Oryctolagus cuniculus: one gene and its partners. The protein of the gene in region 1 purifies or fractionates together with the protein of each later gene. This does not show direct contact. Links are inferred from orthologs where the notes say so. Each region holds a gene or a part of one and is shown on either strand. Other genes may lie near its edges.

What was found. Proteins that work in one complex are often made in the same cells at the same time.
Region 2: the proteins of YAP1 (region 1) and RPL12 purify together in Homo sapiens (affinity purification with mass spectrometry, with the first as the bait; 3 studies listed by BioGRID). This does not show direct contact. The link is inferred for Oryctolagus cuniculus from reciprocal best matches to the Homo sapiens genes YAP1 and RPL12.
Region 3: the proteins of YAP1 (region 1) and BTRC purify together in Homo sapiens (affinity purification with western blotting; 16 studies listed by BioGRID and IntAct, counting the BioPlex papers as one, with this or other methods). This does not show direct contact. The link is inferred for Oryctolagus cuniculus from reciprocal best matches to the Homo sapiens genes YAP1 and BTRC.

Annotation. Positions count from the first base shown.
Region 1 is NC_091432.1:93,682,739-93,686,248, forward strand, and holds part of YAP1 (transcriptional coactivator YAP1), read left to right. Parts: intron 1-3,351; coding exon 3,352-3,464; intron 3,465-3,510. UniProt on the Homo sapiens protein: Transcriptional regulator with dual roles as a coactivator and corepressor. Critical downstream regulatory target in the Hippo signaling pathway, crucial for organ size control and tumor suppression by restricting proliferation and promoting apoptosis.
Region 2 is NC_091432.1:230,974,587-230,978,825, forward strand, and holds RPL12 (large ribosomal subunit protein uL11), read right to left. Parts: upstream 2,807-4,239; 5' UTR 2,663-2,806; coding exon 2,626-2,662; intron 2,255-2,625; coding exon 2,181-2,254; intron 1,802-2,180; coding exon 1,703-1,801; intron 1,561-1,702; coding exon 1,479-1,560; intron 1,284-1,478; exon of another isoform or gene 1,157-1,283; intron 1,081-1,156; coding exon 994-1,080; intron 766-993; coding exon 653-765; intron 522-652; coding exon 516-521; 3' UTR 471-515; downstream 1-470.
Region 3 is NC_091446.1:28,581,393-28,585,585, forward strand, and holds the start of BTRC (F-box/WD repeat-containing protein 1A), read right to left. Parts: upstream 2,807-4,193; 5' UTR 2,677-2,806; coding exon 2,629-2,676; intron 2,361-2,628; exon of another isoform or gene 2,237-2,360; intron 611-2,236; exon of another isoform or gene 471-610; intron 1-470. UniProt on the Homo sapiens protein: Substrate recognition component of a SCF (SKP1-CUL1-F-box protein) E3 ubiquitin-protein ligase complex which mediates the ubiquitination and subsequent proteasomal degradation of target proteins. Recognizes and binds to phosphorylated target proteins.

The DNA.
Region 1 (3,510 bases):
TCCTGGCTTTGGGTTTGATCTGGCCGAACCTTGTCTGTTGTGGCCATTTGGGAAGCAAGCCAGTAGATGGAAGATCTTTCTTTCTCTCCACCTCTCTTTCCCTCCCTTTCAAGTAAATAAATAAATCTTTTAAAATATTAATAAAATTAAGATGAAACTAAAATTCCTATCTATAGAATTTCAGTTTTTTAAATATGAAGATATATGTATTTCCCTTTGTAAACTGATTTTAGGCAACACACACTTTAGAAATACTTTAGCATATTTTGATTTAGGGAAGTGATTATGCTACCTCTTTAATTATCATCACTTGAATTGAAAACAATGATTCTAAGAAAAATTATCACAACTGCTAAAATATTTAGTGTAATAGAATTTCCCATCATTTGGTCAGTGTTTAGATTAATGTTGGTATCCTAATTGATTTTTAAAACACCTAAAATTATATTTTAAAATTTGTATTTACTCTTCTGACACACCCAGTATTTTGGATCTGAAGTTAAAACTGAAACTGTAGGAAACGTCATAGCCACTGAGTTTGTTTTTATATATATACCACAAGGAAACCTTCAGATCACTATAATTCTAGTACCTATATTATTGAAGGCCTATATTATTCAGAGATGGAATTAAACTGTTTTTAAATGAATAGGGTGTATATCCTTCTGCCATTTGTAGAGATTTTTTTCTTAAAACTTTTTTCTCGATTTTTATTTATTTTATTTTATTTAAAAGGCAGAGGGACACATTTGAGAGACATCTTCCCTCTGCGCATTCACTCTCCAGATTTGTCTGCAATAGCCAAGACTGGGCCAGGCAGAAGCCAGCAGCCAGAACTCCTCCCAGGGTGCATGTTGATAAGGAAGGTAGAATAGCCAGCGCTCAAACCAGGCACTCTGATATGGAATGTGGCCTTCCCAAGTCGTGCCTTAACTGCCACACCAAATGCCCACTTCTTTCTGAAACGTTTTAGTGAGAACTGGGCTACTGGCTGGGCTTGAGATTCTGTTTTCTGTTAAGATCATAGAATGACAGTTAATAATCCATGTTACTAGTGTAAGGGAAGAATCATACATCCATTCTCTGTAGTTCCCTGTTTCTAAAGCACACATCTGACTGTGACCTTTTTTTTTTTTTTTTTGAATCCTTGGGGTGAGTATTTGGCTTACCAGCTTAGAGGCAGGTTACGATGACCACATCTTCCCTGCTCAGCTTCAACTCCTCACCCCAACTTCCTGCTAATGCAGACCTTGGGAGGCAGCTGGTGATGGCTATTCATGTGGGAGACCTGAATTAAGTTCCCAGCTCCTGGCTTTGGCCCAGCCCAGGCCTAGTGTGGCAGGCATTTGGGAGTTAACCAGCAGATGGGAGTGTGCATGCTCTTGCTTTCCCTCTGCTTCCCAAATAAAGAGTACATATATAAATAAAGTAATCCTTGATGGTTACTCTGTTGCCGACTAGTTGATTTTTATGCATTCCTTAAACTGTAAACACTGTTCTAACTTGCCTTGGAGTTGACTCTTGCTAGTGATGTCTTATCCCCCCTCTCTCTTTTATTCTGAGGTCCTCAAGATCAGCTTAGACATTCCCTTTTATGAAACCTTTACCTTTTCCTTGTTAATCTCCTTTTTTTTTATTCTGAAAGTACTTTGGGCACATAGTTCACATAGCTTCTGTATATAATTCATTAGTATATTTTTTTCTTCTCTCTCCTGAAGTTGTTAGTCTCTCAGCACCATTTGCAGTTTTTTGTGGTTGTTGCTGTTGTCCTCAGAGCCTGGTCAAATGTCTGTAATGTAGTGACAGCTGTTCAGCGAACGTTTATTCAGTGAGTAGGGCTTCAGGGGGTGGAATTCTGCAGGGAGTAGTTCCTATTCAAGAAATGTAAGCTTTCTTCTGGACTACCTGTATGCTTCCCCTGTGGGTTGGAGTAAATTATTTACAAATCTGTACATTCAGATATTCTGTAATAGACTGGGTGTCTGATGTGGTCTCCATACTCGGCAGTGGAAATAGACTGATGACTAGCACCAGGCCACTGTCTCAGATTAGGGCAGGCAAAAATAAAAACAAACCACATCCAAGACCTTTTGGTACATGGCCTCGTTGTGTGCAAATGGTCTCGGGGCAAATGTGTGTTTTCTTGAATCTGTTTGAGGCTTTTGAAGCTCTCCAAAATGTGGCAGAAGCATTAGAGTAAACCAGTGGTTACAGTATACAAAATGAGGTTGGCAGTGGGGCAAGGCCAGTGCATTGAGCGATTTAGGGAAGAAATATGGAGTCGTGAGCTTCTAACTTTGACCAATAGTAAAAGCTTGTTTAAAAGCTTAGTTTTTGTTTTGTAACTTTTATTAAGTTAAATAGCCACTTAAGTGTCCAAGCTGTGTGGAAAGTTTAAAATTCCCATTCATGTTCAAAGACCATTAAGAAGAATAACAATTGCCTTGCTTTTATACTTCCCCATAAGATTTTCTGCAACTAGTAGAACTCATAATTTTAGTCAACCCAAGTGATATCTTTGTGCTACTAGCTTAGGAAAGTGTTCTGATTGTGAAAGTAATGTTTCAGGATATTTACCGTACTGGTATATAAATCTGGGAAGCTTCATTGAGCTTAAAGGAAAAGTATCTGTCTTGGCTCATGTTTTTCTCTAGAGATTTTCCTTGTCTTGTGTTTTGTTTCTTCTTGCTCTTATGCTGTGGTGTTTTGGTGTTCCCCTCCCCCTCCAAACAGAAGCAGGGAGATCAAGCTACAGGCATTCTTATCTAATCGGCAGTTATTTACCTATTTTTGGGCCAGTCCAGAAAGGAATTCTAGTTCTTTATTTTGGGTTAATTTCTCCTTGGCTTAAGTTCACTACATGAGAGCTAGGAATTTAACGTGAGACTAGTACAGGCCTGTCTCACCACCCACCTGGAGTTTGTATTTTGACCTCTCTGCCTGTGCACACACCTGCGGAATTGAAACCTTGAAACGAGTTAAGTGGACCCCCGCCCACCCAATGCAAATGGTATTAGAGAAATAAAAACTCTACAGAGAATTTTATGTCAGCTAGGAAGACTAAATGGATGTAACTTTTTTCAGTTGTTGCCATCAATCAATTGCACAACCTTAAGAGAGCTCTTGGTCCTCTAGAGCTACCAGCTTTAATTAGTACTGTATATTTCACTTCATAGTATAGGGTCTGTGACCATGAAGGAAGATACTTGTTTCAGCTGTTACAGGGCAAGATTGTCACTAATCCCCTGAGAATCCTGTTGGTACTCAGCAAGTGTTTATTTTTATCTTAGATTTCTTAAATGTTACTATCAGTCTTTAACTATTTATTTATTTATTTATTTATTTTGGTAGCGGTACCTATCACTCTCGAGATGAGAGTACAGACAGTGGACTGAGCATGAGCAGCTACAGTGTCCCTCGAACCCCGGATGACTTCTTGAACAGTGTTGATGAAATGGATACAGGTTGGTATTCCTTATTTTAGTTACCTGACCTCTACTCAGAGATAAT
Region 2 (4,239 bases), about 140 Mb from region 1:
GGCAGCCAGGCCTGGACCACAGCCCCCATCGCTGGCCTTCTCTAAGCCAGCTGGGCCCTCAACCATGTGCCTTCCACATTGCCGCACCTCCACCTGCTGCTGGAGCTCAGTACCTCCATCCAGGGGTAACTTCAGACCGACAGGAGCAGATTAGGGGTCAGTGTGGGGAACAAATTCTTAGGGGAAATCGTCTCCAATCCCACTTAGGACCAGGAGCCCCTTTCACACAGTGCGGGAAAAGCAGAGCTGGGGCAGGCAGCAGAGGTCGCCTAGGCACGGCTCTGAAGCTTGGCTGCACAGCAGTGGTGGGTCCTGGGCCCCAGCCACCCATCAATCGGAGGTGGGTGGAGACATCCACAGAGTCAAGGCTTTCTTTGAGGGCCCACAGGAGTTGCTAATTAGGTTCTGCACTTGGCCCGCTCCCGCCCAGTAAGGGAGCCAGTTCCCCCAAGAAGACGCCACAGCAGAAAGCCACTTGTCAGATGATCCTTTATTCCAAGATTCCTCTGTGCTTCTTAGCTCTGTGAGGAAGAAAGCGGGTCTGAGACCACCAGCCACTCCAGCCTGGCAATACATCAGCTGTACCCCACCCCACTTTTACACGGAGTACCACTGGCCATCCCCCCACCCCGTGTCACCCGCAGGCACTTACAGCCGGGCACTCCACGGCACCACTGTTGATGTCGTCGATGATGTCGTGAGGGTGGCGGCCGTCCACGTTGCAGCCCACAGACTGGGCGGTCCCCAGGATCTCCTTAATGGTCCCTGAGAGAGCAGTGGCTTCAGGGAAGGCTTGGTCCTCTCTCGGGACTCCCCACTCCCCTTGGAGTCTGGAATCCCACCTGGTTACAAAGCCCTTACACAAGGTCTCCACACTCCCCCTGCGCCCAGGTTAAATACCCCACTCAGCACCACGCATTTCTGCAGAACACGCCCCAAGTCCTGGATCACCCCGGGGCGGACCCGGGAGCCGGCTCCACGCCCTGCGCTTACCGGAGAGTTCTCTGGCGAGGGACCGGTGGCGCATCTGCCGGGCAATGTTGACGATCTCATCGAAGGTGATGTTGCCGCTGTGTTTGACTGCAGGAAGGACCAGGGGAAGCTCGGTCAGAGGCGGCCGCCTGTGAAACCTCACAAGGCCCCGCCAGCCGTGGCAGGCTGTTCCCGTGCTTTCGGCACAGAGTCATCCACGTGGAGGACAACCCTGTTTCCTAAGCCGGGGCTTCCTCTCAGCTCACCACTGGATTGCGCCAGCCAGCAGCATGGGCAGGCGCAGTGGCGGGTGGCTGGGACACAACCGAGCCTCCGCCGGAAGCCGGGCTGGGGCCAGTTAGGCGTCCAGAGGACTCACCCTCCACCCCCCGCACGCACGGGAAGCAGGACCTGCCCCACACTAGCTAACCCGTCACCTCCCACACTGTCACACAGGGGACACCCAGAGCCGCCGCTGGTCACAGACCCCTACACAAGGCACTCACTGTTCTTCTGCTTCTTCCGGTCCCGGGGCGGTTCCTTGAGGGCTTTGATGATGAGGGCCGAGGCCGAAGGCACCACCTCGATCTGCAGGACAGAGTCTTGTGTGAAAGAGCCCGACCCCACTGGACCCCACGCCGGTGAGCGTGGCGACGCGGCCACCCACGTGGGCTCCCAGAGCATGCCCAGCCCAGCCCAGCCTGGGGGCCGACAACACAGGCGGAAATACCTGGGCCTGCCGGTTCTGGATGGTCAGTTTCACTGTGATCCGCAGCCCCTTCCAGTCGCCGGTGGCCTTGGCAATGTCATCGCCAACCTTTTTGGGAGACTGTAGAGATATGGGCGGGTAATCAGCCTGTGCCCGAGCTGGGCCGCAGCCCCCAAACCTGCGCAGTACCGCCACCTCCCTCCGCCAGCGCCAGGGCAGCTGCACCTGCGCCCCATACCCCAGGTAGCACCAGGCTCCGGTGCGGCCACGCCTCGAAGGGCCCCTGCACCGAGGCGGCACGCGCGCAGCCCGAACCCGTTTGCGGAGGCTGGGCCCCAGCTGGCCACGGCAAGATGGCCCCTAGTGGCAGGAGCGACGCTCGGGTGCCCCACGGCATGAACGCGGTACAGAGTGGAGCCGGCCACGGCCCCCGCGAGCCCGCCACGCGCTGCCCACTGCGGGTCCGCCGCTCGGCTCCGGCCGCGCACCAAGTACTCACCAGGCCCAGGGGGCCGATCTTGGGGGCCAGGGCAGACGTGGCGCCGACCTCGCCGCCGGTGCACCGCAGGTATACTGGGGGGAGGGGGAGGAAAGCCGGGGCCTCAGTGGAGGGGCCGCGCCTCTCCGGGCTGCCCACCCGGCCGTCGCCTCTCCCCGACACAGCACCAGGAGCTCCCGGGGATCAAGGCCGGACACACGCTCCTCGCTCGGGCGCCGCAGCGGAGGCCGCCCGGAACCCACACGAGGGGCGCAGAGACCCCCGAAGACAAGCCTTACCCTAAGGCGTGCGGGCTGCAAAGCCGCCAGGGTCGTCCGCTCCTCCCTCCCCATCTACACGTGGGAAAGCCGAGGCCCGGGACGCGCAGCTTCGCGCACGGGAAAGGAGCGCGGCGGGGCGCGGGCAGCCTGCACCCCGCAGCCCCGCTCGCAGCGAGAGCACGCACCGACTTTGATCTCGTTGGGATCGAACTTGGGTGGCATGGTGGAGGCGCCTGGTGTCGGATGAACCCGGATTCGGGACGACCGAAGAGAGTTGCACCTTGGCCTCCTCCGAGCCGAATACCGAAAGGCCGGAAGTCCCGCCGACCGCACCGGATATAAGCAGGAAAATGCGGCTCTCGCGAGAGCTCCTGGCTCCGCCTAAAAAATCCTGGCTCCGCCTGGCGACGCCCTTGCCGCCATGTTTCTTGTGGGCAGGCTCCTGCGGCTGACTGCTGGAGAGCCGGGGGCATCGCGGTGAGCCGGGGTAAAGGATTCGGAAGCGGGGTTCGGGGCAGTTCGCCAACGGGGAGGCAGAGACGACAGGCTGCTCCCGAGATCCCGGGCCTCGCTGTTTGCTGTGCTCTCGTATCGTGAGGGTCACCCCGGGGTCCCTGTCACCGAAATCCAGAGACCTGCCCCTCCCCTGGGCGGTCCGCGCCCCCGTCCCGGGACCCGGGACTCCTCCTAACCCCTTCGTGGTGTGTGGGTCCGCTCAGCAGACCTAAGCCAGGTGCAACTCTTGCTCGTGCGAGCCCGGCGTCCCGGACTTGTCACTCCTGCTCTGCAGGACTTTTGGAGCTTTTGGGTTTCGGTCCCAGCTCCTGCCCCGGAGGAGCCGCAGCCACTGCTAAGCCCGGGGGTGACCCGCCTGTCCACCCACCCGGCCCGGTGACCGCAGCCGAGGGGAGGATGGGTGTGGCCCTCGCCCCCGGGCTGGACGCCAGCAGATGAGGGAGCGGCGTCGGGGCTGAGCTGGGAGGAGATGGGGAGCGGGGCGGGCAGGCTGCGGCAGACCCTGCCCGGTGCCGGCAGACTGGTGGGTTTGACCGGAGGGCCTGGGCGGGCCACCCCTGCGGCTGGCAGCCCGCACCCCTGTGGGCGGAGACCTCTGGCCTCCGCCGCTTCCCCAGCCGCGTCTGCTCCCCTAGCCCTCGGCCCTGGCTCCGTGTGTGCGGGACGGGCGGCGCTTTGTGGCCGTGGAGCGTTCGCTGTGTGCAGGTAGCGGCCGTGTGGGGGCCTCAGGTGTGTGAACTCACTGGGAAGCCGGTGTCGGTGACATTATCGCTCAGGCTCCGCAGGTGAGGAAGCCGTGAGCCACGGTGACACAGCAGGTGGCTGGCCGAGCCTGGATCCCTACCAGCCTGGTGCTTGCTTCCTGGCGGGTGGCTGCCCCCGGCACGGATATTTGCAGGTACTGGGCAGGGCCCCTGCGGGCAGTGGGCACCAACTCCTGGTCCAGGACCCCAGCGCCAAGCAGGTGGCAAACCCCTGAGCATCAGGTCGTGGAAGCCCAGGGTTCCAGGCTGCAGACCCACATCCCAGAACCTGCTGAGCGTGTTTCTCCACCATCAGCAGGGCCCTGGTGAGGGTCCCATGGAGTGATGACTGTGAGGGCGGCCAGGCGCCTAAGGGTCGCCCCTGAATGTTGATTCAACTCCGAGATCCCTCTGGCTGTGACGTAGTTGAGCCCCCCAGAGTCATGGCTGGCTCCAGTCTGGTTCTGCCGTTCTAGCTTGGAGGAGCCGGAAGTGACCCCAGTCTGTTAGGGTCCTCCGGGAGAATCCTGAGGAAGTGTG
Region 3 (4,193 bases), on another chromosome or scaffold:
AAAAATAAAAGGCCAGAATAAAGCTGCATACAAAGACAAACATTTCAATGTGATGTAATAAAGGACAGCTCCTCCATGTGTGCTATACACTATTTACTTGAAGCAAATTTAAACACAACATCTTCCTAGGAGCTGGGCATTTAGCCTCGTGGTTTAGCCATCCATGGCAGAGTATCTGGGTTCAGTACCTGGATTCCAGCTTCCTATTAATGCAGACCCCGGCGGCAGTGGTGATGGCCCAAACAACTGGGTTGCTGCCACCCACGTGGAAGAGCTGGACTGAGTTCCCAGCATTCAGTGCATGAATTACAAGATGGGTGGTCTCAGGCTTTCTCCCTTGCTCTGCCCCCTCCCCCTCTCACCTCTGCTTCTCAAATAATTTTTTTTAATCTTTCTATCACAAATTGACTCTAAATAAACTAGGAATACTACAGAAAGGTAAATGGGACCAAAGGGAAGTTGTGACTTACTCAGATTCATAATAAGGCTGTTACAGAGCTGGAAGAGAATTCCAAACCTCTAACTCTCCATTCTCTGCTCTTCTTCTTAAGGTGTCATCACTCTTGGTGACTCTCTTCCAACTGGCCATTTCTCAAACAGCAGCCATAATGATAGGTAGTCAAAAATGAAACTAACTAAAATTAAAGAAAAATTTGACTTCTCCCTATGGAAACTGACTTAACATTTAATAATGCATGGCGTCCCAAAAGTGGCAAACCACTACATGGCCTGGCTTTAACTCAATCAGGAAGCCATCACAGAGACATAACTCACTGATACGAAGCAAAGATCAAGCACTTGAGAATGTTCCCATGCTGAGGTTTAAGGAGGAGTTAAAAAAAGATGATCTCATAATGTCTCTTTATGATCTGTAAATCACATTATTCCATAAATCTGACACAACTCAGGATTTCGTCAGGATTAGGATTAAGAGTCAACCCTCCTTCTAACTAGGCAAGCAAAAATAAGAAGTTGCCACTTTTCTGACGTGAATCTAGGATCTGGCTGTAGAGATAAAGTAACTTTCACTTCCAAAAGAAAAGAAAAAGCAAGGTCTCTTCTTCATATTTTAGAATTTTAACATTGGGCATAAATTCAAGAACCTTCTGGTTCAATGGAATTCTGTTCATGATACACCTGAACTTTAATTAGATGTTTTTGAAAGTACTAACAGAAAATTATAAATATAATTTTCTGAAAAATATTCTTATAAATGGAGAAATTTAAGCCTAAATTCAATTAGGTTAGTATTTAATCTGCTATGGTATTTTAGGCAAAGATACAAAATAACTTTTTAACAAAGGAATAAGATTTGGAGTGGCAGATCACAATTAGGTCTGAAAAGCAAGACTTGACTGCAAATAATATCAATGTCCCTAAAGCCACCTGTTAAGTAAAAGCCACAAAGTCTTGTTTTGCACCTAGGATACACAAGAAGCATCAGATTAAAAGCATCAAATCTCAGATTATACAAGTTTGCCCAACATAAGCATGCTGATAGAGAAGTGGGATACAAAGTAAAAAGGCTCTAAGGAGTTTACACACCCACAATCCAACCACATGCCCCTGCTATGCTCAACAAACTTAAAACTGAGGGGCGCCCCCCACCAATCCCAATTTATCTCATTAGCTACATCCCTCGCCTTCCCTTTTCCTCTCTTGAATTTCTCCACCGACCTCATCACTTGTCATGGGTCTCTACAACCATAATTTCCACGGCTTGCCTTTCCCAGCCCATGATACAGCCCGTGGATCCCACACTTCACTGCCTCCCACTTGAAGCTTCAAGTTCTGTTTCACTCTATTAGACATTAATTTTGCCCCAACCCCTTGTCCCCATGTCTCTCTGGCAATCTGCCTCTTGCTTTTCATCACCTCATACACAAGTACTTAACCTCTCCTTACAAACCAGGTATAGATCCCTTTTCCTGACAACTGTTTCACAGTCAACAACCCCCTCCTCGCCCACGGACTGTCACCACGGGTTCCTATTCCTTGTCCTTATCTCCTCTTCCAGAGTTTGTCAACAGTAGTTTGGCTAAGAGGGGATTCACCCTCAAGGCAAAGGCTATCTTCCCCCTCTTTCTACAAAACTACAAGCCCCTCACCCATCTGCAAGCCCTCAGCCCAGCCGCATCGGCCCTGCTCGCTCCCACCCTACCCCCAACGTCTGTGCTCCTACAGTCCCGTGCTCCCCTTCCCAACTCGGGGATGCACCTCCTCTCCGGGGCCTTACCCGTAACCCCGACACTGGGAAGGCCCTACCAACGGCCTCACGGCGTCTCTCCACCCGGCTTGCTCAGCTCTTCGGTAACTGTCCCCACGCCCCTTTCCCTCCCGGGCCCCGCGCGCCGCCAGGAGACCCCTCCTCGATTAAGCTCCCGCTGTCACTTGGCTCCTCATCCACAAGATGGCGGAGCTGCTGCCCCCCACCTCTGGATCCCCTCCGCACCCCCCAGCCTCCTCCCCCGAGCTCCGCTCCAGTCCCTCTAAGCCGCCCCCGCCGCTGGCCTCGGCCCAGGGTCTCGCCAACCCCCTCCCGCAGTGGGCGGGCGGCCCAGGCCGGAGCTCAGCGACGCCGCCAACGCCCCCGCCTCCATGGTTCCTCGGCCTGCACGGTCTCCTTACCATAAACTTCAGCGCTTTCTCCTGCAGCACCGCCTCGGCCGGGTCCATAGTCGCCGGGGCCACCCGGTCTGCTCTCCTCGGGGGCCGCCCCTTTGGTGCCAGGCCGCAGCCAACGCAGCTCCCGGATCCCGCCTCCTCTTCCTTCCCCCCGCCCTCTCTTACCTTTCAGGCACGAGAAGGGGGGCCGAGGAGGACCAGCTGTTCCGCACGCATGCGTAAGACCGCTGGCTCACGGGATTTGTAGTCCCGGAGCTTCCCGCAGCAAAAAGTGAGGCCATGCCGTGAACCGCAACTCCCGCCGTTCACTGCGGCCGGGTCGCGATTGCAGACGAGGCAGATCTAGACAACTCGCCGTCAAGTACAGCAAATCGGCTGATGGGAAAGGTAGTTTACAGTCCTTACGGATGCGAAGCGGGAGGGGGCGTGGGCGTCTCCGTGGTTACCGAGCGACGCCAGTGCGGCTTGCCTAGCATTTCTATCAAGATGGCGACAGCGCCTCACCTGTAGCCCAGATACTGGGAAAAGGTGTCAGAGGATTCAAGAGCCCTCCCCTGACTGTGGTTCTGGGGACTGGACATCCCCCAGTTTCATGTATCTAGCGTCTGTGAGAGATTGTGACCCACAGGCGCCGAGCCAGAGTGCACCAAGCAGCAGCATACAGACCAAAGCAGAATTTCAAGGTCCTCCTAAGCTGTCGCCCACACTTCTCTCGAGAAACCTTTTCTCCCCCAACAATCAGCCAGTCCAGGCCGGATGGAATTAGGCTCAGGAAGTTCTGGGTTCTTAGGAGCCCAAAAAGCGCAGCCTGCTACTGCTAACCCTGGGATGTAAGCCCTGTGCTCTGAAGGTCAAACAGGTGCTTTAGAAAGCCCTTCAGTGGTGGACTGCAGTAGCCACTCAGCACGTAAAGTATAGAAGTATTTTCTTTGGCTCTTAAAGGGACAATAGGATTTTATTTTGGAAACTGGGTCTATCTTAGGAGGAAAAAAAAAAAAAAACACAAAATGAGGCTGGTGCAATATATCAGAATTTACCCCCAAAAATAATTAGATCAGGAAAATGCTGTTTCACCCACAGAAGAAAACTCTATTGTAAACTCCTTTATGCATTCGTTCGTTCAACATTTTGTCAACACATAACTGTGTACCGACGTCATCTCAAAAAATGGGGCTTCGTTGGTGAACATGACAGACCCAGCCCCTTTCTTTGTGGAGCTTACATTTCTAGGATGGATGTGGGTGATACCATACCTGGCGGGAGGTCTGCCTGCCCTGCCCATGCAGGATCATGAGCAGGCATGGTACACCACGCCTCCCAGGAAGGACCCTACAATCGGACTGCTGGCAGGTGGCAGGAGCCCCAGGCATTTTTACACGCACACATGCATGCACACGAGCACACACACACACCACCCCTGTGAAAGGGCCCTGCAATTGCCAATCAGGTAAACAGCTCCCGGGTGTGGTCCATGCCCTTTAGGACACCTGGAAAGCTATCCTAGCTACGTGACCTTCAGGCTGACTGGAGAAGCATAGCGGCCAATATCGGTTCTATCCTACAGAATG